Linked DNA regions of Pelodiscus sinensis. The protein of the gene in region 2 interacts with the protein of the main gene of each other region in a biochemical or structural test. Links are inferred from orthologs where the notes say so. Each region holds a gene or a part of one and is shown on either strand. Other genes may lie near its edges.

Region 1 (10,562 bases), on a different chromosome or scaffold from region 2:
ACACCTCCTCCCCTCCGGGCAACCAGATCTGCTGGGCCGGCTTGCGAATATGCCCCGTACCAGGCCTGCAGGCTGCAAGCCCGGGACCCTTGAGTCAGAGGGGAAGCTATCACCCCTGCCAGCCAGGTGCCCTCTCCACAGTGGCAGATATGACACAGGCTGTAGGGCCCTGGCCAATTTGGGGGCCCTGAAAATATCCCCCCCCCCCCCCACAGCCTCTGGGCTGGAGGAGCTTTCCAGTTTTGAGGCCACTGTAGGGGAGAGGGGCCAGGAAAGGAGTGACTGGAGGGTGGGGTCATGGGCAGGTTTGAGGAGGAAGGTGTGGAAGGGGGTGAAGCTGCAGCAGAACAGGAGCATCATCCCAGGAGGAAGGGAGGGCCCAGAGTTCCTGCCCCAGGAGACCTTAATCCGCCTCTTGCCTGCTCACTGGACTGCCTGGCTGGGCTCCCAGATGCATTCAGCCCCTGGAGCCTCAGCAGAGCCCAGGCCCTGTCTCAATCTGGGGGTCCCTAGGCCCACACTTGAGGCACAGACCCTCTGGCTAGTGTCCCCTCCAGTGCAGCAGCCCAGCCCCTGGGCTCAGAATGGACCCTTGTAGCATAAACCCCCTCGCCCAGCTCGCCACCACCAGCCAGGCTCCCGGCTCACTCCCAGAGAAACCCACAGCCCCTTTGCCTCACGTCTCCCCTAGTTGCACAGTCACCAGGCCTGCAGCCCTGAAGTGCATCGCTCTGCCTTAGCCGCCTCCCCACTCAGCACACTCCTGGGCTGGGGTCAAAGTCCCCTGGGCCAGCCAGGCCCTTAAGCAGAGCAGGGTTCGTCTGCCGTGCGAGCGGTGGAGGCTTCCTCAGCTCGGCTGCACCTTCCTTCCTGCCCACACTGCCTGCCTTCCGCCCACGTTTAACATACCTCCCAGGTCAGGCTGGGCCCACCAGGCTGAGCAGGGGCCGGCCCCCAGGGCAGGGGAAAGCAGGCCCACGGCCTTTTCATTAGACATGGGGAGAATGGGATTTTATGGGCTAAGACCTCCAGGAGCAGCACCAACCTCTGCACCAGGCAACCTGCCCCACAGCATGCTTCCTGCCCCCGCCCCAAGGCTCTCGGTGGCGGTGAGTCTGCCAGGCCTCCCTGGCGTCCCAGGGCTTGCGGGCACAGCCCTGGCGGTACAGCCTGCCCCCAGCCGAGCCTGGCCCGATGGAATGGGGCAGGATAAATGCAGAGCATGCCATTCCCACAGCACTCTCCCCTCTGGATGGGGGCACAGCCCTCCAGGGCTCCTGGCAGCCACCGCAGTGGTGGGACGGGATCTTCCCTAGGCGCCGCAGGCTCTTGGGTACAGCCAAGGAGCAGAATAGCTCTGGGACGAGGTAGCCCATGTGCCTGGGTAACACACCCGACACCTCCCCCCTCCCCGAGCTGCTTAGGACAGCAGCAGTTGTTCCCAAAATCCCAGCTCCTGGGATGGCCCTCCAGCCTGGGCAGCCTAGGGGAGGGGGCACCTGCTAGCGCCGTGGGGGGCTGCTGCAGCACCTGGAAATAGGCTTCATCTCATGCATCAAGCACCAACCCCTCTCCCCACTCCTGCGCCCCCCATAATAGCAGGCAGGGGTCTGGTCCAGTAGCTGTTTATTGTGCCACAGGGCGGCCCCTCTGTCAGTGCACGCAGGTCACTGCTTGCCATTGCCGTTGATGGGCCGGTCGCGGTGGGCGGTCGACTGCAGGTAGGTGTGTAGGTGGGGCCGGGCAGCCACCCGCTCCGCGTAAGCCGCCAGCAGAGGGAAGGAGGCCAGGCAGCCGGGTGCCAGGACCAGGTGGTTCCGCAGCAGCTCCACCAGGTTATAGTCTGCAAAAGAGATCTGGGGGGAAAGGGATGGGGTCAGCGCATGGCCACGCCCCTGCATGTGGAAGGGCGGGGTCGGCACAGCCACACCCCCAGGCAGCTTGGCCACACCCCCATTGTGTGGGGCCCAGGGACAATGAGACCCTGGCCAGCTGGGCTAGGAGAAGACTGACAAAGAAACACCCCAGCTGATTTGGGGGGCAGGAGTGGGGAGATACCCCCTCCCCACAACACACTCACCTCATCTCCAACCCCCTCCCCACAACACACTCACCTCATCTCCAACCCCCTCCCCACAACACACTCACCTCATCTCCGACCCCCTCCCCACAACACACTCACCTCATCTCCAACCCCCTCCCCACAACACACTCACCTTATCTCCGACGATGAAGGCCTGGCCAGAGCGGTTCTGGGACAGCAGGTTCTCAAAGGGGCGCAGCTGGGCTGGCAGGGCTTCCACGTACGCTGTCTTACCCTTCTCCTGGGGGAGGCAGGGGGTCAGGGTCTAGCTGCTCCCCCAGACACCCCCCCACTACAACAGGGCCCACCCACACCACAATGGGGCCTGCCCCCATGCTGGTCCCACACCCCCACTGAGCCCCAAGTCACCCCTGCCCGCACTGCAATGGGGCCCACTCCGGCCTCCGAGCAGAGGCGCCACTCCTGCCCCACCCTGACTGGGCCTACCCCCCAGTGCTGGAGCTGCCCCATTCCCTGCCCCCACTCTGCGGGGGTGCGCCCCCTCTGGCCTCCTGCCCGATGCAGATTCTGCCCTGGCTCACATAGTTCTGGTAGATGAGCTGGGCGTATTTGAGGCGCAGATCTTCCACCCCATCGTTCACCATGTCCAGCTGCGCCGCCTCCTGCTGGTCCTTCCCATACAGCCCTGCCAGAGCGAGAACCGCCATCAGTGGGGGGAGGGGGGCTTCCCCCAGCCCTCTCCCCACACACCCAGCCCTGCCTCCTGCTGGTCCTGTCCCTATAGCCCTGCCCGAGCAAGAGCCGCCATCAGCAAGGGGCCCTCCCTCAGCCGCCTCCCCCCACACTCAGGAGACCTGCCCCCCCAACATTCTGCCCCCCACACCCTCAGGAGACCTGCCCCCCCAACATTCTGCCCCCCCATACTCGCCCCCTACGCCCAGCCCAGCCCCCCCAAACTCCTTCCCGCACAGCCCTGCCAAAGGAGAGCCCCCACCAGTGCAAGAAGCCCCCCTCCCCAGCTGCCAGTGCCTGGCCCCTCACAGCCCTACCGAAGCTCCTGGCCAGGTGCCGCAGGATGGCGTTGGACTGGTACAGGGTTACGTTTCCATCCTGAAACTTGGGCAGCTGCCCGAACAGCTGTAGGGAACAGGAAATCTGAGGTGAGGGGTCACTAGTCCTGGATGGGGCCAGCAGGGCAGGGTGAGCCCATGGGACCCGCTCCCCGAGGGACCCGCTCCCCGAGGGGCATGGGGCAGAGCAGCCTCTCAGTGGGGCAACAGGAAGACAGACCAGAAAGCAATAGGGGGAGAGGACTCTGAACCAGTGCCCCCACCCCCTGCTAGGACCCCCTCCTCCCTCTCCATGGGTCATGCCTCCCATCTCCCCTAGGGGTGCCCCCTTCTCAACCACGGGAACAGGTCTCCAGTCTCCCCTGAGATGCCCCCTACCAGTCATGGTGCCATCTCCCTGCTCCTCCAGTTGGGTCTCCCTTCCCCACTGGGTCTCCCCTCCGCACTGGGTCCCCCCTCCCGGCTCCTCCAGCTGGGTCCCCCCTCCCCACTGGGTCACTCCCCCCACTCCTCCAGCTGGGGTCCCTCCTCCCCTCAGGGCCCCTCCAGCACCGAGGCTTGGGCAGGTTTCACTCACACAGGATTTCTTGAGCTCTCCCTTCTGCCACAGCTCCATGGTCACCACATCCTCCTTCCACTCCTGCTCCTGGTCGGCCAGCAGCATTCGTATGGCCTCGCAGCGCCCTGCACACGGCAGGGGCAGGTCCTCATTTGTGGCCCCCCAGGGCACAGACAGATCCCCCCCCCCACACACACATTGAAGCACCCCTGGGCATGGACAGACACCCCCCCACACACACACACCCTGCAGGGCTCCTGGCAAACGGCTCACACACACCCTGAAGCGCCCCTGGGCACGGACAAGCTCCCGCACACACACCCTGCGGCGCCCCATGGCCCCACCCAGACCCCAGGGCATGGACACATCCCTCTGCAACTCCCACAGGGCACGCACAGACCTGCCCCTACCCCATGCACACACCCTGCAGCTCCCCACAGCCCCCTCCAGCCCCCAGGGCACAGGCACCCCCATCCTCCTTACCACCCAGCCCCTCCCCCCTGCTCCCCACCCTCTTATCACTCAGGACTGCCCCCCAACACCCCCACTGCACCCAGGGCACCCACCGAGCTAAAGGGGAGCCCAGAGCTGGGACAACAGGGGGCTGCAGAACGGGGGGGGCAGGGCTAGGACAACGGGGGGCTGCAGGGCGGGGGGGGGCCGGGCTAGGACAACGGGGGGCTGCAGGGCGGGGGGGGGCCGGGCTAGGACAACGGGGGGCTGCAGGGCGGGGGGGGCAGGGCTAGGACAACGGGGGGGCTGCAGGGCGGGGGGGCAGGGCTAGGACAACGGGGGGGCTGCAGGGCGGGGGGCAGGGCTAGGACAACGGGGGGGCTGCAGGAGGCCCGGGCAGCGCTGGGGGGCAGGCGCCGCACCCCGGGCTGGGCAGCCCGCTGGCCGGGGTCCCGCCGTCACTCACCGCGCACGGGGAAGTAGGTGATGGTGAAGGGCCCAGGCACTGCGGAGAGAAAAGGAGGCGCCGGGTTAGCGAGCCGGGCGGGGGGGGGGATTGGGGGCGCGGGGGGGGACACTCACTCTCTGCAGCCGGATCCCGCTCGCTGGCGAAGTGCTGAGTCACCCGCCCCCGGGGCTTTAAAAGCTCCGAGACGGGCGCCGCCCCCTCCCCGCCCCCAGCCCTGGGGCCGGGCTTAGCCGCTTCCCGGGACCCAGGGAGCGGGCCGCGTCCCAGCGCCGGGCAGCTCCCTGCCCTGCCTCAGCCCAGCCCCACTGGGACCCCCTGCCCCTGGGGGGCCGCCTGGGGGGGCAGGTCTTGGCACTCGTCCCTGGGGGGCGGCTGTGGGGCCAGGCTACTTGCTCCTTGGGGTGCGTATGCAGGGGTTCACTTCCCTAGTCTGTAGAAACAACCCGAGGAGGCCTGCGGCACCTGGAAGACTCACAATGTACTTGGGCACAAGCTTTCATGGGCAGAAACCCACTTCGTCAGATGCCCGTCCCAGCCCACTCTGGCCATAGCCGGGGGAGATTCACCCCCACCCTCCCAGCTCCAACCCAGTCGTGGCCTGGATCGGCCCAAGGATGCACAGCAGAAGGGGAAGCATCACTCACTGACTCGCTCCCAGGGGCTGTGGTGACCTCCACACATACCTAGTTCACCCCTGGGCTCTGTGACTCCATACCTGTCCCAGCTGAGACAGGTAAGCTGATGCCCAGATACAGCCATGAGTCTCTCAGGTGCCATAGGACTCCCTCCTTGTTTAAAAGGATTTGATTTGTATTACTCTTAGCACATCATCCTGTAACTCCGTTAGCACCGGGCGGCTGCCGTCACTGCGTGTTTCTAATACGGGAGTCGCTGAAAACGACCCTACTGCTGAGAACTCCGGGAGTCGCTGAAAACGACCCTACTGCTGAGAACTCCGGGAGTCGCTGAAAACGACCCTACTGCTGAGAACTCTGGGAACCCCATGTTTGTATCGCAGCAATCAGCTTGCATTCCACATTTCCCTTCTGTTTTTCCTCCAGGTTTTTAATACACAAGCTTATTCTTCTGGAGAGCATATGACACCAGGCTGACTGATTTCCTGGCTCCTGCCCAAACTTCTTCCGTTCCCCTTGATCCAACCAGGGGGCTTGCTTCTCTCTCCATCACCCTCCTTGTGTGTAGAAGTCGGTTCCCAAATATTCAGCACAGGCCAGGTTTGTAAAGGTTGAAAGCACTGTGATGCTTTTGAAAATGGCAAGAGTTGCCTAAATACCTTTAGGAACTGTATTACCTTGTATGCAAGTGTTCTCAAAAGCAATTTCAACTGTGATTTTTACTAAATAGAGGGATACAAGCCCAGGAGATATTGACAGCTGCAAGCATTCAAAAATAATGCCATACACCCCAAAGGCATGAGATTTAAATGAATAAGGTCATTCTGTGTTCTTTTAATTTGCCGTTTTCTTTATAAGTAGAGCCCGGCAAATCTGTGGGTATGCGCATCCGTGGATGTGGATATCCAGGGATCGTTTTTTGCAGACGCAGATATCCGTGCAGAGCTCTATTCGGTTAACTACATAGCCATTCACATCCCTAATACCTAAATGTGGATCTTCTACTGAATTGTTATATTTCTAGACCCAGGCGATGAGTGAGGGTAGGGCACGAGGAGGCACATGGCCCAAACGCCATGGGTGGGAGGGACAAAGGGCTGGCCAGTAGCCGGTGGGGGGACTAGCAAAGGGGGGGGGTGTCTGGTGCCCACAGCTGGGTTTCCCCCCTCATACTCAGTAGCAGCAGTAGGGCAAGTGTCTCACTCTGGTCCCCCGGCCACGTCGCTTGGGGGAGAGGCAGGACCAACCTGCATTCACCTGTGAGAAACGGAGCAACACAGCTGAGAGCGTGAAACAAACTGGAGCTGTGTTGCTCTGTGTGCCCTGTCATTGCCAGTGAGTGTGGGGGGGACACACCCCTGCTGTTGCTACGGACGCCCAGCCCTGCAAGTTCCCTCAGCTAGGGATGTAATAGCATCGTCCATTAACCGAGAAGCAAAAGCTTACAGGTTACTGCTATAGACTACATATATTTCCCTCCCTCACACTTGCCAGTAAATTTTTTAGCAGGCTGACCAGCAGCCCGACTGAGTTCTGGCTCACACCAGGTCTGCAGCTTTGCATTTAAAGTGTATTAGGAGCCAAGCAGGCAGGCAGCCTGGCTCAGTTCTGGCTTGTGCTGGGTCGGAGAGCTCAGATTCCCCTTAGACAGGGATTGTTGCCACGCCACGCTGCTGCCTCTTTATCAGAGGCAGCAGCTCTGGGCGACAGGGCAGCCAATCCACAAGGGGAGCTGGTTTTTAAACTGGTTCCCCTCATGGACCAGCTCCCTTCTTACACCCCGTGCTGCTGCCTCTGATACAGTAGCTGCTGGCCCCGCCCCCGGGAACTATAGAATAGTTGACTAATCGATGAGAATTCATGAGGTTACTCGACTATTCAGTTAACCAATATTTAACATCCCTACCCTCAGCTGCATCGCTCAGGGGAGGAGGAAGAGCTGTGACAGGGATGGAGCAAAGATAGGACTGAGCTGAGGGGAGTTGTTTCTGCCCTTCTTCAGGCTTGGGGGTGGGCACGTGGCCCCCCCAGGTCTCCCTTCACCAATTGCCTTGCTTCTAAGTGTGTGTTTCCCTAGCCTTCTAAGTATGCTACATGTTTTATTGTGATCCATTTCATTCTTCATTCTGACAAGTTCACTGGTTCATTCAGCCAAAATCAAGGGGTTTTTTAAAGAATGAATTACCCTGTTACTCCTTCGCAGTGGCCAGGCGGCAGGAAAGCACGCCTGCTGTGACATGGTCAGTACCCCGTATTCTTCACAGTGCTATTGTGGCAGTATGATTCTGGCATCGTGACGCTGTGTTTTGTACAAGAGACGTTACGGGCGGCGTCATTAGAGAAGTGACGATTTGCCCGATAGGAGCATTCCGTGTGTTGGCCTGGCTCAGGTTTGTGTCAGACGTTCTCAGTGGTGACTATGTGCCTGGGTTTCAGGTGGAGTTTCATGAGGGCAATACCCACTGGGCATGATGCTTTCAGGCTAGGTAGCTGCTTGGGAAGGGCCTATTCCTGGTAATGGGCCATTAGGGGAAAAGCAACAAGCCTTAGGAGGAGCGTATCCACCACCTGAGCCTTTCTCAAGACACTCCAGGCAACCTGTGAGTAAGGGCTGCCGTGACTCAGCAAGGGCCTGTGGCCAGGTCACGTGATCCCAGACTCCACCTTGGGATGTGCCAGTGTTTTTCCACAAACCGAGTTTGGGACACAGGGTTCCCACCATGTGCTAAAGCTGCCTCAGGCAGGGAGGGACATCATGGGGGAGGGGGTTCTTCTTTCCCCTCTGGGAAGTGTCCTGGAGACACCTGAGGAACTAAGACTAAACGGTGGTGGGCGGGGGAGTGCTGGACTCAGGCTAAAGGGATTTCTAGCGTGTGCATGAAATGGGGGCAGTGCACCAAGATCCCCTCCCTCCCCGGGGCCACAGGAACATGAAAGGAATGGCACAGAGCAAGTGGCAGGAAGCTGCCTTAGCCCAACTGAGCTGCTACTGTTGACGGCAGGAGCCCCTGGGCCATTTTAAATCACCCAGGGGTGGCCGGCAAGGCTGTGGGATATGCAGTTGGGATCACATGAGCTGGGGAATGCACTGGAGGGGAACTTCAAGAGCGGGCCTTGGCCTCAAACTTTGGTGGAGCAGGAATATTCCTGCTGCCTGGGCACCATGGGCCCATATAACTCGCCGCCTATATTTTCTGGGTAAACTGGTTTGCTCTGTTTGCTATCCCTTATAATCACTGACATTCTACCTCTTGTAGCTAATAAACTTTGTTTTTGCTTTATCTAAACCGTCAAGTCGGAGTGAAGTGTGTAGGAACCATAGCTCAAGGCGCAAAGGCCCCTCCCACAGTGAAGGAGGGGGTGACCTTTGAGCTTATGCTGCATGGTTCACTGTGCAGCACCAGGCAGTGTTATTTGGGAGTTACACTCGAGGGATTGGAGCCCAGGGGACGGGAGTTGCCTTCACTGGAGCCTTTCTGTTGTTGGTTCCTTGCAGGGGCTGGTCAGACAGCCTGCTTGTACTGCAACTGGGTGTGTCCCTACCCGTGTGTGGGCTAATGAAAGGGCAGGCCTGAGGGTTTTCAGCTTGTCACAGCAGCACAGTGAGAGATGGAGCCCTGGCTGGTGGGTTAGGGGCTCAGTGGTACCCCCATTCTAGGTGGCACCCCAGGGGGCACAGTGGCATATGCGAACAGGGTCACATGTCCAGCTTGTTGCTCAGAGATTTGCACTTCATACAGAATGGCAATTTTAAGTGTCATGGCTCGAGATGAATCCGAGAGATTACCAATCTGTTATTTTCTGTTGGTTTATTTGGGGTCAGGGAGCTAGAGACAGAAAAGCAGGAAGAGGAGGGAAAACAGTGAAACTGTTGTGAAAGTGGAGCTGTGCAGATCGCAGGCAGAGGAAAAAGCAAGCGAACCCCCAAAACCGTTGGAGACAAAAAGAATTTCAGAAAGAAGAAACTGAAGCCCCGAAGGAAGTCACGAAAGCAGCGAATGCAAGGCCGGGAGCACACACCAGTGAGTTTTGGAACCGAGACAGGCAGAGGAAGTCAAAGAAATGGCAATCCAGGAATTAGCCAGGGGGGAGGAAGAAAGAAGAAGAAAGCACCAATGAAGAGGCAGAACCAGATAAAAGATTTGATGGGGAAAAGGATTGCAGGGTTGATGTTGAGTATCAGGCCCGCTGATGGGGGGGGGGGGGCAATTTTCTCTGGGTCTGATGATTCAGAAGAGACCTGGATTTCCAGCAGCAGCGGCAGCTGGTGTCCTGGGCCCTTTAAATCAAGACCAGAGCTCCAGGAGCTGGGCACCCCTGAAGGGCTAGTCCCAGCTCTGCCTCTTCTCCTGAGGCCGTGCCCCTTCCAAGAATACATCCCCCACCCCTCCCACACACACATCTTGCCCAGGGGCCCAGCAATTCTGTGGCCCCCTCTGTTGCGTATCCCACTGAAACCCCAGAGGAAAAGGGTAAAGTCTCAGGTACTGCTGGAGGAAGGGGACAGTGTCTCTTTAATTCCTTTGCCGTGGTGGGAAAGTCTATGCTTCCGGGGTGGGGGTGGTTGAGACCAGTTCCTGCCCCGAGCTTGAAGGCAGCAGAAAGGGAGGGCGTGTTGCCTCACAGGGAGAAAACTGTCCAGGTTGCTGGCTGCCAGCAGGCGGCAGAGGAACAAAGCACAGCCCTCACTCTGGGCAGCGGGTTTCCAACTTTTTTTCTTATGACACCCCCCCCCCCCCCCCGTGAAGAAAATTATTGTTGCCCCGCGACCCAATGTAATTTGACTAGAGTGTGGGCTCTGGGGTGGGAGCTTTGGGGTGTAGGAGGGGCTCTGGTTTTGGGGGGTCAGGGATGAGGCAGGAGGGGCTTATCTTGAGCAGCTCCCGGCCAGCCGTGCAGGGGGGGGTGCTAAGGCAGCTTCCTGCCTCTCCGGCCACCAATGCCCCCGGAAGCAGCCAGCAGCTGGTTCCCAGACTGGGAATGTAGAGCTCGTGCTCCGGGCAGGGGCAGTGCACGGAGCCCTGTGCATTCTGCCCCCTGCAGCTAGGGGCCAGGTCTGTTGTCAGCCACTTCTGGGGCGCAGCACAGTCTGCAGTGCCAGGAGAGGCAGGGAGCTGCCTTAGCCTCCCCCGCTCCCCCCCGCCCACTGGTCACCTGCTCCCCCTGCAGCAATGAGACCCAGCGCCCGGCATTCCGCCGTCCAGTCCTGGGGCACGACCCCTCGTTTGAAAACCACTGCTCAGGGAGATGTGCCCTGCTGGGAAGCCCAGAGGGGCGGGTGGAATCCTGGAGACCGCTGAGGTGGGCGAGGGTTGCGTGGACCCTGTAGCTG
Region 2 (10,585 bases):
CGCTATCTAGACATAGACTTGTAGTGTGGGTCTCAGGAACCTTGCACTGAGCTAGCCCTGGCGCTTTAGAGAAAAACTGGTGCCAAAGCAGTTGTAGGAGCACTAGAAAACATTAGCACCAGGCACTAAAATGCTGAGATAAAAGTGCTTTGTAATAGGGGATACTCACCTCTTGAAAACTTCCTAGAGGCTGGGTGCAGACCAGTTCTTTTCTCTCCCCAATCACCCGCTCTAGGCTGCCAGACAAACTTGGCGAGTCCTCCATGGCTTGGTTCTCTGACCTGTCATGAAGTCCACACAAACCCGTTACAGGGTATTAAAAAGTCCTGTCATCCTCCCTCAGCCCTACAACAGCTCCATCTCTGTGCTGTTCATTAGCCCTGTTCTCTTCTTGGGATTTATGCCACCATGGCCGGTAGGGAAACGCAGGTCCATCCTTTACACAGCAGCTGTGCTTGCTTCAATTTCAGTTTATTGCTTCTTCTCTGGGCCTCTTCCTGCCTGGCCCCTTTTAGCTTCACACTTAGCTCAGGGTTAAGGTCCTTAAATCCTTTCTCTCCCTGCAGACCCAGTTTAATCAAAAGTAGTCAGAAACAAACTCTGGCTATTCCTTGAGTTCCTTTAGCTAGAGGAGGAGTGGGTGGGGGAGCAAGGTGGGACCTCTCTGTTCCCAGCCTGGAACTGACCAGAGTCCCTGCAGTGTCTTTTATCTGAGCTGGCTGGATGCTGATTGGTTTCTTGGCACAAAGCCTCTCTATGCAGGCTCAAACCTTTCCTGTTTCTTTCCTGTCTCTGCTGGAACCTGGGGTGGGGTGCCATAGGATTGTGGGGCTCTGGTAGGGAGCCACAAAGGCCACACGCACCTTGCCACATGCAAATATGTCAGGTAACAATTATTAAAGCATGAAGGCACCAGCACAATGAAGAAGGCAGAGAGGCACTGGACAAGCGGATGCATATGTTCCATGGCTGTAAGCCAAAGCTCTGGATGAACAGGCTGAAGGCAAGGGCCTCAGGAAATGTACTGTTTCTAAATGCCAGAGCCACAGCTCCTGTGATGGGGAAGTGCCTTACCAGATGACTGGAATGTGCCAAGTGCAGCTCCCAGACTCAGGGTGTAGCTGGCCATGGACATTTGGGGGCCAGCAGTAGGTTCCAGGGCAAAGGAGCAGAGCTTGGGAGGGGCAGAGAGAAACACACTGAACTGGTGGTGCCAGTCCTTGTGGGGCACAGACACAGTGAACTGGGCAGAGAGCCTGGACCCTTGGGGTACGTCTAGACTACATGCCTCTGTCGGCAGAGGCATGTAAAATAGGCTACCCGACATAGTCAGTGAAGTGGGGATTTAAATATCCCCGGCTTCATTAAAATAAAAATGGCCACCATGCAGTGCTGGATCAGCTGATTGTCAGCACAGCAGGGCAGTCAAGACGTGGGGACGGAAGCTGCTTCATTGACTATGTCGGGTAGCCTATTCTACATGCCTCGGCTGACAGAGGCATGTAGTCTGGACATACCCTTGTTGGCTGTGTCTAGACCGGCAAGTTTTTCTGCAAAAGCAGCTGCTTTTGCAGAAAAACTTGCCAGCTGTCTACACTGGCCGCTTGAATTTCCGCAAAAGCACTGACTTCCTACTGTCTGAAATCAGTGCTTCTTGAGGAAATACTATGCTGCTCCCGTTCGGGCAAAAGGGCCAGTGTAGACAGCTCAGATTTGTTTTGCGCAAAACAGCCCCGATTGCGAAAATGGAAAAGCGTCCGTGCCAATCTAGACGCTCTTTTCCGTTAAAAGCATTTGCGGAAAATCATGCCAGTCTAGACGTAGCCGTTGAGTGCTGAAGGAGAGATTGTATACACTGAACTGGAACTAAACCCAGAAGGATGATGGATGTGCACAATATGCTGGTGGCACCTTCGTTCTTAAGGGGGGGCCACATAAAATTGAGCAGGCCCCAGTCCCTATGGCACATAGTGGGGAGATATGAGTGGGCCTAGTTTCTGGGCTGGCACAGTGTTCTGGGGTCTGGCTGTCTGGGAGCACACAGAGCTGGGGACTGGTCTCTGTTCAGGACACACTGAGGTTGGCAGGGGAGGAGTCTGGTAGGAGTGCCTGTTCTGTTCATTCCTTCTGGGGCATCTGACACTGGCTACTGTCAGAAGACAGGATACAGCCACTCTCTGAGTTACGAACAAGTTACGGATCAACACTTGGTCCGTAACTCGAGCTGTTCGTAACTCGGACCCCATTGAGTTACACGTGATCGCGCTGTTCATAAGCGCGGATCGCGTTCGTATCTCGGGGACCACCTTTACGACCGCTCCATGGGAGCTTTGGTCGTAAGTGCGAACGGTCGTAACTCAACCGTTTACAACTCGGGGAGCGGCTGTACTGTGCAAAATGGGCCGCTATAGCTATTTTTACCTTTTCTTTAAGGAACATTCTTTAAGTCCCTTATTTCATTAATTTGTCATACACAAGGGAAGGCCGAATCTCATCTGTACAGAGCAGTATTAAGTCGTGTAAATGTTGATTGAAGCTTGTTTTCAGGGTAGAATTCAGACTGAAGAAACATGGAATTTTAACAAAAACTAATTCCAAAGCTAAAAATAAAAATTCAAAATTGTGCTGAATTGTGCGCCTAAAATAAAAATCATGGATGTTGCTTCATATTTGAGACGCTGCGTTAAAACATATTAATATTCAGATGTTTTTCCACCTCATCCCTTTGGTTTTTGCACTTGTAACACAAGTAAGGAAATGCTAGGAAAAATTTAGAAAACTTCTGGAAAGGTACATTCATGACTAAGTACCAAAAGCCTAACCACATGGCTCTTCTATTATGTTTCATTGAAACAAGTACTGTGTACAGGGGAAAGGATGGGGCTTTGAAACACGGTACCCTAATCATTCTCCTTCCAATTTTTTAAAATGTGTGGAATTTATTACTTTTATTCCTACCTCAATTGCAGCAGTGGAAAGAACATTTTACTTGTTATCCAGGTATAGAAAAACTGCAGAAACCCGCTAAATATTGACACTGTTAAAGCTGAACTTCAAATTAACATTAATTTCAGTTGGACTGTTAAAGAGCTTTATGAATTAACAAACAAACCCCAAAGATGTGCTGAAATGTTTTAAAACAGGCAAGTACTATTTTAAACAAACTTATGACGACTGCACTGTATGTCTGAGGACAGTTGAAATGTACACATGCCATACCTACTTTGCTATAGGGAAAGGTGTTTCCCTAAAACATCCCTTAAAATAAAGGGTTGTCCCTTATCTATCATGTGGTTTTTCCTTATTTCCATCCCACAAGAGATGGTCACCCTATGGGCTGGTCCTTATTGGGGAAGGACTACTTAGCAGTGGGGACTGACAGGCACATGGAGATGGGGGACGGGTCCCTGTTGGGGGCATATGACACTGAGGTCCTGGGGGTATCCCACGAGGGCATGGAAGGAGGGAGGGGGGGAAAGGAGCTGGTGTCATAGGGTTGTACAGTGGGGAGAACTTAGAGAGCAGGGAGTAGAGTCATGGTGGGGCACAAGGAGCCCGGGTCTGTCCTAGTGGACACACAACATCGCAGGGGTATGTCTGAAAAGGTAGAGGGGGACCATGCAGGGAGGGGCACAGAGATGAAGGGTGGCGCAAGGAACCAGTGGAGTCTGTTCTAGCTTTGTTGGGGGCACACGGAGCTGGGGCGGAGGGGCTGTCTCAGGCTGCACAGAGCAGCGCAGGAACAGGGAAGTATAGGTGGACAAATGGAACAGAATAGGTGCCGTCCAGGAGGCAGGCGGGGGGCAAACAGAGTAGGGGGGGACCTGCCCAGGAGCTGTACTGGGTAGGAGGCTCTGTCAGGAGCCAGATGGAGTGGGGGGCTGTCCAGGAGAGCACACGGGGTGGGGGGCTCTCACGGAGAGAACAGGGTGGAGGGCTCCGCAGATGGGGGCACACGGGCGGGGGGCTCTGACAGGGGAGGGGCACACAGGTGTGGAGGCTCAGATACGGGCACACGGGGCGGGGGGGCTGCCCAGGGTGGGAGGCTCTGAAAGGGAGCACAGGGGGCAGTGGGCACATGGGTTGCGGGTCACACGTGGGAGGGCTGCGGGGGGGGGGGGCTGTCAGGGGGCACATGGGGCGGAGGGGCTGCCGGGGGGGGGGCTCTGACAAGGGGCACGCAGGCGGGGGGCTCTGACGAGAGCGCTGCGTGGGGGCACACGGGGCGGGGAGGGTCGGCGGGGGGGGCACACGGGGCGGGGTGCTGCGCGGGGGGGGCTCAGACGAGAGGGCTGTGCGGAGGGGTCCGCGGGGGGGCTGCGCGAGGCACACGGGGGGGGCACACGGGGGCGGTTGCGGGGGGGCACACGGGGCGGGGGGGCGGGCTGCGGGGGGGCACACGGAGGGGTTGCGGGGGGGCGCACGGGGCGGGGGGCTCTGACGGGGGGGCGCACGGGGGGGTTGCGGGGGGGCACACGGGGCGGGGGGCTCTGACGGGGGGGCGCACGGGGGGGTTGCGGGGGGGCGCACGGGGCGGGGGGCTCTGACGGGGGGGCGCACGGGGGGGTTGCGGGGGGGCACACGGGGCGGGGGGCTCTGACGGGGGGGCGCACGGGGGGGTTGCGGGGGGGCACACGGGGCGGGGGGCTCTGACGGGGGGGCGCACGGGGGGGTTGCGGGGGGGCACACGGGGCGGGGGGCTCTGACGGGGGGGCGCACGGGGGGGTTGCGGGGGGCACACGGGGCGGGGGGCTCTGACGGGGGGGCGCACGGGGGGGTTGCGGGGGGCACACGGGGCGGGGGGCTCTGACGGGGGGGCGCACGGGGGGGTTGCGGGGGGCACACGGGGCGGGGGGCTCTGACGGGGGGGCGCACGGGGGGGTTGCGGGGGGGCACACGGGGCGGGGGGCTCTGACGGGGGGGCGCACGGGGGGGTTGCGGGGGGGCACACGGGGCGGGGGGCTCTGACGGGGGGGCGCACGGGGGGGTTGCGGGGGGCACACGGGGCGGGGGGCTCTGACGGGGGGGCGCACGGGGGGGTTGCGGGGGGCACACGGGGCGGGGGGCTCTGACGGGGGGGCGCACGGGGGGGTTGCGGGGGGCACACGGGGCGGGGGGCTCTGACGGGGGGGCGCACGGGGGGGTTGCGGGGGGGCACACGGGGCGGGGGGCTCTGACGGGGGGGCGCACGGGGGGGTTGCGGGGGGCACACGGGGCGGGGGGCTCTGACGGGGGGGCGCACGGGGGGGTTGCGGGGGGCACACGGGGCGGGGGGGCTCTGACGGGGGGCGCACGGGGGGGTTGCGGGGGGCACACGGGGCGGGGGGGCTCTGACGGGGGGGCACGCGGGGGGGTTGCGGGGGGCACACGGGGCGGGGGGCTCTGACGGGGGGGCGCACGGGGGGGTTGCGGGGGGCACACGGGGCGGGGGGCTCTGACGGGGGGGCGCACGGGGGGGTTGCGGGGGGGCACACGGGGCGGGGGGCTCTGACGGGGGGGTTGCGGGGGGGTTGCGGGGGGCACACGGGGCGGGGGGGCTCTGACGGGGGGGCGCACGAGGGGGTTGCGGGGGGCACACGGGGCGGGGGGGCTCTGACGGGGGGCGCACGGGGGGGTTGCGGGGGGCACACGGGGCGGGGGGGCTCTGACGGGGGGGCACGCGGGGGGGGTTGCGGGGGGCACACGGGGCGGGGGGGCTCTGACGGGGGGGGGGCTGGGAGCCGCGCAGGTCCGGGGGGGGGGGGACGCTCGCGCGGCCGGCGGCGCAGGGGGCGGGGCGGGCGGGGCGCTGCGTCTGTGCGCGCGGCCCGGCTCCGGCTCCGGCTCGTTGCTGAGCGGCGGGGCGGTGAGTGCGGGGCCGCGGCCTGTGTCGGCGCCGGGCGGCCCGGCCCGGTTCGGCTCGGCGCTGGGCGGGGGCGGCGGGGCTAGTGGGGGAGGGGCGGCAGTCACAGTTGGCGGTTGTGGGGGGAGGGGCGGGGGTCGGTGGAATGGTCCCGGGGGGGGAGGGGTGGCAGAAGTGGGTCGGTGCAATGGTCCCGTGGGGGGGGGAGCGGGGTCCCGGGCCCGCCCCCCCCCCCCCCCCCCGTGCAGCGCCCTGCCCCTCTTGTGCACGGTAGCAGGTGGCTGCTTTGCCCCCGCGCGTTGCCCTGGTTCCCGTGGGGGGGCCTGGCTGCAGGGGGGGGGCCGGGGGGGGGGGCTGTCTCTTTGTTGGGCTGGCATCACCAGAGAGGGGCTCTGCTCCTCACCAGCCAGGGTTCCCAAGCTGTGGCAGGGTTTCCTCTCCTCTTGCAATATCTCCCCTGCAGGGCCGCTTGGCACAACTTGATTTTCATTGTTTTAAAAATAATTCTGACAAATATCAGTTTTATTTGAAACTGTGTTTTCAGTCTGTCAGTGTTCACAGAGATGGAAAATAAGGGGGGCTGGTCAGACAAGAATAGAATGACAGTCAGCGCTGAGATTAAACAAGTTAAATAGTCATTAAAACACAAATTGTCAACATCATGCCAGAATATACAAAATACACGTCCTTAAGTCAAACTCTAATAAGTTTTTCTGACTTGGCATAGCTGTATGTTTTTATTATTATCAATGAAAATATCTTTTTGGTTTTCATCACCATTTATTGATAAACTAGATTATTTTTCTCCAAATTTACTTGTATTTTATTGTAAGCTTTTCAGGAAAAAGAGGTTTGAGTTGCTGGAGAATGTAGCAGTTTGAAGTGAATGAGATCTGTAACAAAATTCCAAATGACTGCTTTTGAAAAATGCCTTTTTGTTCTTCTGGGATATTTGACCTCCAAAGACAGCTGCTTAGGAAGTCTGGCAATATTTTTGTCTCTTCTGAAAATCTGCATTTTAAGCCTCATAATTTTTGTCAGAAATAACTGAAATGTTTGCAGTTTTTCTGTTGCCCTCCTCTAGTTTCTCTTTTTTATGAGTACTTTAGTGTCAGATTTGACTCTTCAAGCTTCAGATTTTTTTTTCACATTTTTTAATGCCATGGTTTTATCAATGCAAAGTGCAAGAGCCCGTTAAATGGTCTCTGTTAATAAGCTGCAAATGTGAATCCCATGAGCCTTCTTTCTTCTCAATTATAGTACCATAGTTGGGTTTATACTGTTTTGTTGAATTTCAGTGTTATATAGAGGGAGCCTTGCAAAATTATTATAAACATTTTTCCAGCCCTGGTAGCATATCTGCTCACTTTGCCTGACTCTAATGATGTAAACACAAACAATGTTTTACCCACCTATGTAAAGAAATTAGTTGCTCTAGGGTAAGTTCTGCAACTTCTTGTATTGCAACTTAGTTTTATTTAAAGGTTTGGAGATGACTATTGGTAAAGGCCTGTGATGAATTCACTGAAAAACTAGTTTAATTTTCAGAATTGCAGGCAAATTCATTCTTCTTTGGATTAATCAGAGGCGTAAAACATTGTTTTGTAGCATGTTTTATTTTGTTTGCATAAATTGGTGCACTGTCAAATATTGAGTTAATTTAGAATTAAATCAGATTGTTACCTGAAGGGAGATAGGGTCACATTTAGCTAAGAGTACTAATTAAAAGTGAGTTCAGTGACTTTTCAGACCCTTCATATTGTACATTCCGTAATGAAGAATATATAATAACAAAGGCATAGCTGATGAAATTCAAATAGGCCTATGCTTCTGTTTTGACCTCAGTCCATGGAGGCAGCCATCTTAAATTATTTTTCTTGTATATGAATCCAGTGGCACTTTTCAATGTTTCTATCAAGTAAGTTCTAATGTCGTGGTGTCCAACATGCTAGCTGCTAGCCACATGTGGCTATTTGCCCCGTTGAGTGTGGCTAGGACACCACAGTTCTCATGTATAGAGCAATACACTTTCCCTCTATGTGTATGTGTGTGAAACTGTTTTCTTCACAAGCACAGTCCTGTACTAGTAGAGTGAACTTATTGCTACTCTTTGCTAGTGCTGGATTTTAATTGTACACTTCTTAGTTTGATGTCCATTCTCATTTCTTGTACGCTAATCAGTGAGATCTGATTCACATGTGTAGGGAGTGGGTGATTAGGGAACATACCTGTGGTAGTGGATGAAATGTCCAGGCATTGAGTTTGGCTTTTGGAGAAGGTCTCTGAAAAGTATCAGACAAGAATGAGATCTGATGACCATAGATTGTATTTGATACACATTCACATACACAAAAACTCAATAACTGACTCTGTCGCCCAAATGGAGCTTTCTGAGTGTCCTGGTTCTCCCACTAAATGTATTGGAGTTTTTGTTTCTGTCTTTGCAATTGGGTACTGTAGAATGATTGACTCCCATTTCTGAGCAAGTTTTTTTTATTGGTTAAATTTAATTTAACCTTGAAATATCAATTTATATCTGAACTGCGGGGAGTAGAGTGGAGGAATGGACAACGGAGATCTGAAATGTTGGAAATGTGAATCTTTCGGAATAAGATTATAGACTTTAAAAAGACTATAGAAAAAACTGCAGCATTTTATTTGGTAAACGTGACTCCTGTGTGCACTGAAAACCATATTACCTTGTTTCTTATTGACTACAGGTTGCATCTCTCAAATCTGGGATTCTCTCTTCTGTGGTCTCAACATCTGTGGGCTAGAGATGTTAAATTTCAATTAATCAACTAATTGAGTCGTCGATGGAATTTCCATTGACGACTCAATTAGTCAATAAGGGGGATGCTGGCTATCCCACTGCGCCTGTCCCTTTGAAATGTACGAGAGCTGCCTATGGCTCTTGTACATTACATCAGAGAGGTACAGTAGTTGGGATGCCTGTGCCTCCCTTGTCCCCCATGGAGATGGTGCTGGAGGAACTGGTTTTTAAGCCAGCTCCCCCCAGCCCCGGCTCCTACTCCCCCTCCTTGTTGCCTCTCTCTGACAGAGGCAGCAAAGGGGGGAAGCAACTAGACGAGTGACTACTTGTCAACCTGACTAGTTGCTTACATCCCTACCATGATCCAGCATGTCTATGGATGTTCCTGAATGAGAGACCTGGGTGGGGCAGGAGGGCCTGCAGCTGGGAGCCCGTGCAATCCAGCAAGTCTGCTAGCAGCGGGGTCCCAGCAGCCTGGGATACTCTGCTGCGTGGCAGTGGGGCTGAGACCGCAGCAGCCCAAGAGGGGAAGCCTAGTCTGGGAGGTGGCAGGGCCGCAGCAGCCCGGGCGGCAGTGGCAGCAGCAGCAGCAGTGTGATTGGGGCTGCCTGCTGCCCGTCAGTGGAACCAGAGCTGTGGCTGCAGCAGCCCAGGAGGGCGAGCCAGCCTGGCAGAATCGGCATGGCCTGGGCCACGTGCTGCAGCGTTGGGGTTGTGGCAGCCCAGTAGGGCAACATGCCGTTCCGGCAGTGGGGCTAGAGCTGCCCGACTGGCCCACAGACAGACCAGCCAGGCTCAAGGAGCCGGCATTGGGCTGAGTGGCTGGTATCAGGGAACCTCCTGTTTGGCAAATTCGCTCTTCTAGGACCTGTCAGGTCCCAGGAGTGCTGGATAAGAGAGGTCCAACCTATAGTAAGATTTTATTCCTGTTAGCCCTGTAGAACCAATTCAGCAATGGGAGGATGAGCAGGATTCACTTCTGGCTTGTGCATCACCACTGATAGCATTGCTAGTTAGGTTTCTGATGTTAGAATCTTCATTGTGATGATTCATGAGTCAGAAGCCCAGCATGGTTTTCAGATTCCAGGTAAGTTTTCAGGTTTGGCAATTTAGGGCGGCAGGGGAATCTGATTTTGTACACTGAGCAAATTTGAACTGGAGTTGCGGAGAGACCAAATGGTAAACCTCAAAATGCCATTTTTAGATCACTTTCCATAGTAGAGAATTAGTCTACAAAAAGGGAGAAAAGAATTTTCCAGGGGAAAACAGTTTTATCAAACATGCTGATTTTCGGGAGTTTACGGTTTTGAAGCTTTGTAGAAATGTTTTAAGCAGCGTGTTAATGTTAGAAGCATTTGGGATTGTAGTTCTTCCTAGGGATGTATGTGAGCAGTTGATTGCTCGCACTCCCGCTCCCCCCTTGCAGCCCCAGTATCAGGCGACTCCCCAGCACTGTCTCTGCGGTCCCGCCTGCCCCCTTCCCTCAGAGGCTGCAGCGCAGGGTGGTTGATGGGCAGGAGAGGCTGCTGTGAAGCAGCCTTTGTCCACGGGGGTTCCCAGCGAGGAGCTGGGATCCCCTATGGACAGGGGCTGCTGCAATGAAGCAGACCATGTCTACGGCAGCCTGGGCTGGCCATGAACACAGGCTGCTCTGACAGCAGCCTCTGTCTGTGGGGGTGGGGTCCCAGCTCCCCATCGGGAGCCCCCGCGTACAGGGGCTGACTTGCATTGGGTCCGGGACCTGTCCCTGCTTCAGCTCTGCATTTTAAATGCAGTTGCTCTTACTACATTTAAAATGCAGAACTGTAGTGGGGGTAGCTCCCGGGCCGGTGTGAGCCGGGACTGAGTGCCTTATTGACTAACAGTGTAGTCCAGTGGTTCTCAAACTTTTTGGGCTCCTGAGCCCTTTACATGTGTAAAAATTTATGCGGAGCCCAACCGGTCTACTGATTGTATGTGTTGTACCTATC

Evidence for each region. The genes of interacting proteins can lie anywhere in the genome.
Region 1: the proteins of MAPK8 (region 2) and GSTP1 form a complex in vitro, tested with the Homo sapiens proteins (2 studies listed by BioGRID). The link is inferred for Pelodiscus sinensis from reciprocal best matches to the Homo sapiens genes MAPK8 and GSTP1.

The regions. Positions count from the first base shown.
Region 1 is NC_134714.1:128,930,604-128,941,165, forward strand, and holds GSTP1 (glutathione S-transferase P), read right to left. Parts: upstream 4,825-10,562; 5' UTR 4,710-4,824; coding exon 4,709-4,709; intron 4,632-4,708; coding exon 4,593-4,631; intron 3,799-4,592; coding exon 3,692-3,798; intron 3,182-3,691; coding exon 3,094-3,181; intron 2,730-3,093; coding exon 2,626-2,729; intron 2,325-2,625; coding exon 2,217-2,324; intron 1,857-2,216; coding exon 1,668-1,856; 3' UTR 1,610-1,667; downstream 1-1,609. UniProt on the Homo sapiens protein: Conjugation of reduced glutathione to a wide number of exogenous and endogenous hydrophobic electrophiles. Involved in the formation of glutathione conjugates of both prostaglandin A2 (PGA2) and prostaglandin J2 (PGJ2).
Region 2 is NC_134718.1:5,443,700-5,454,284, forward strand, and holds the start of MAPK8 (mitogen-activated protein kinase 8), read left to right. Parts: upstream 1-5,760; 5' UTR 5,761-5,845; intron 5,846-10,585. UniProt on the Homo sapiens protein: Serine/threonine-protein kinase involved in various processes such as cell proliferation, differentiation, migration, transformation and programmed cell death.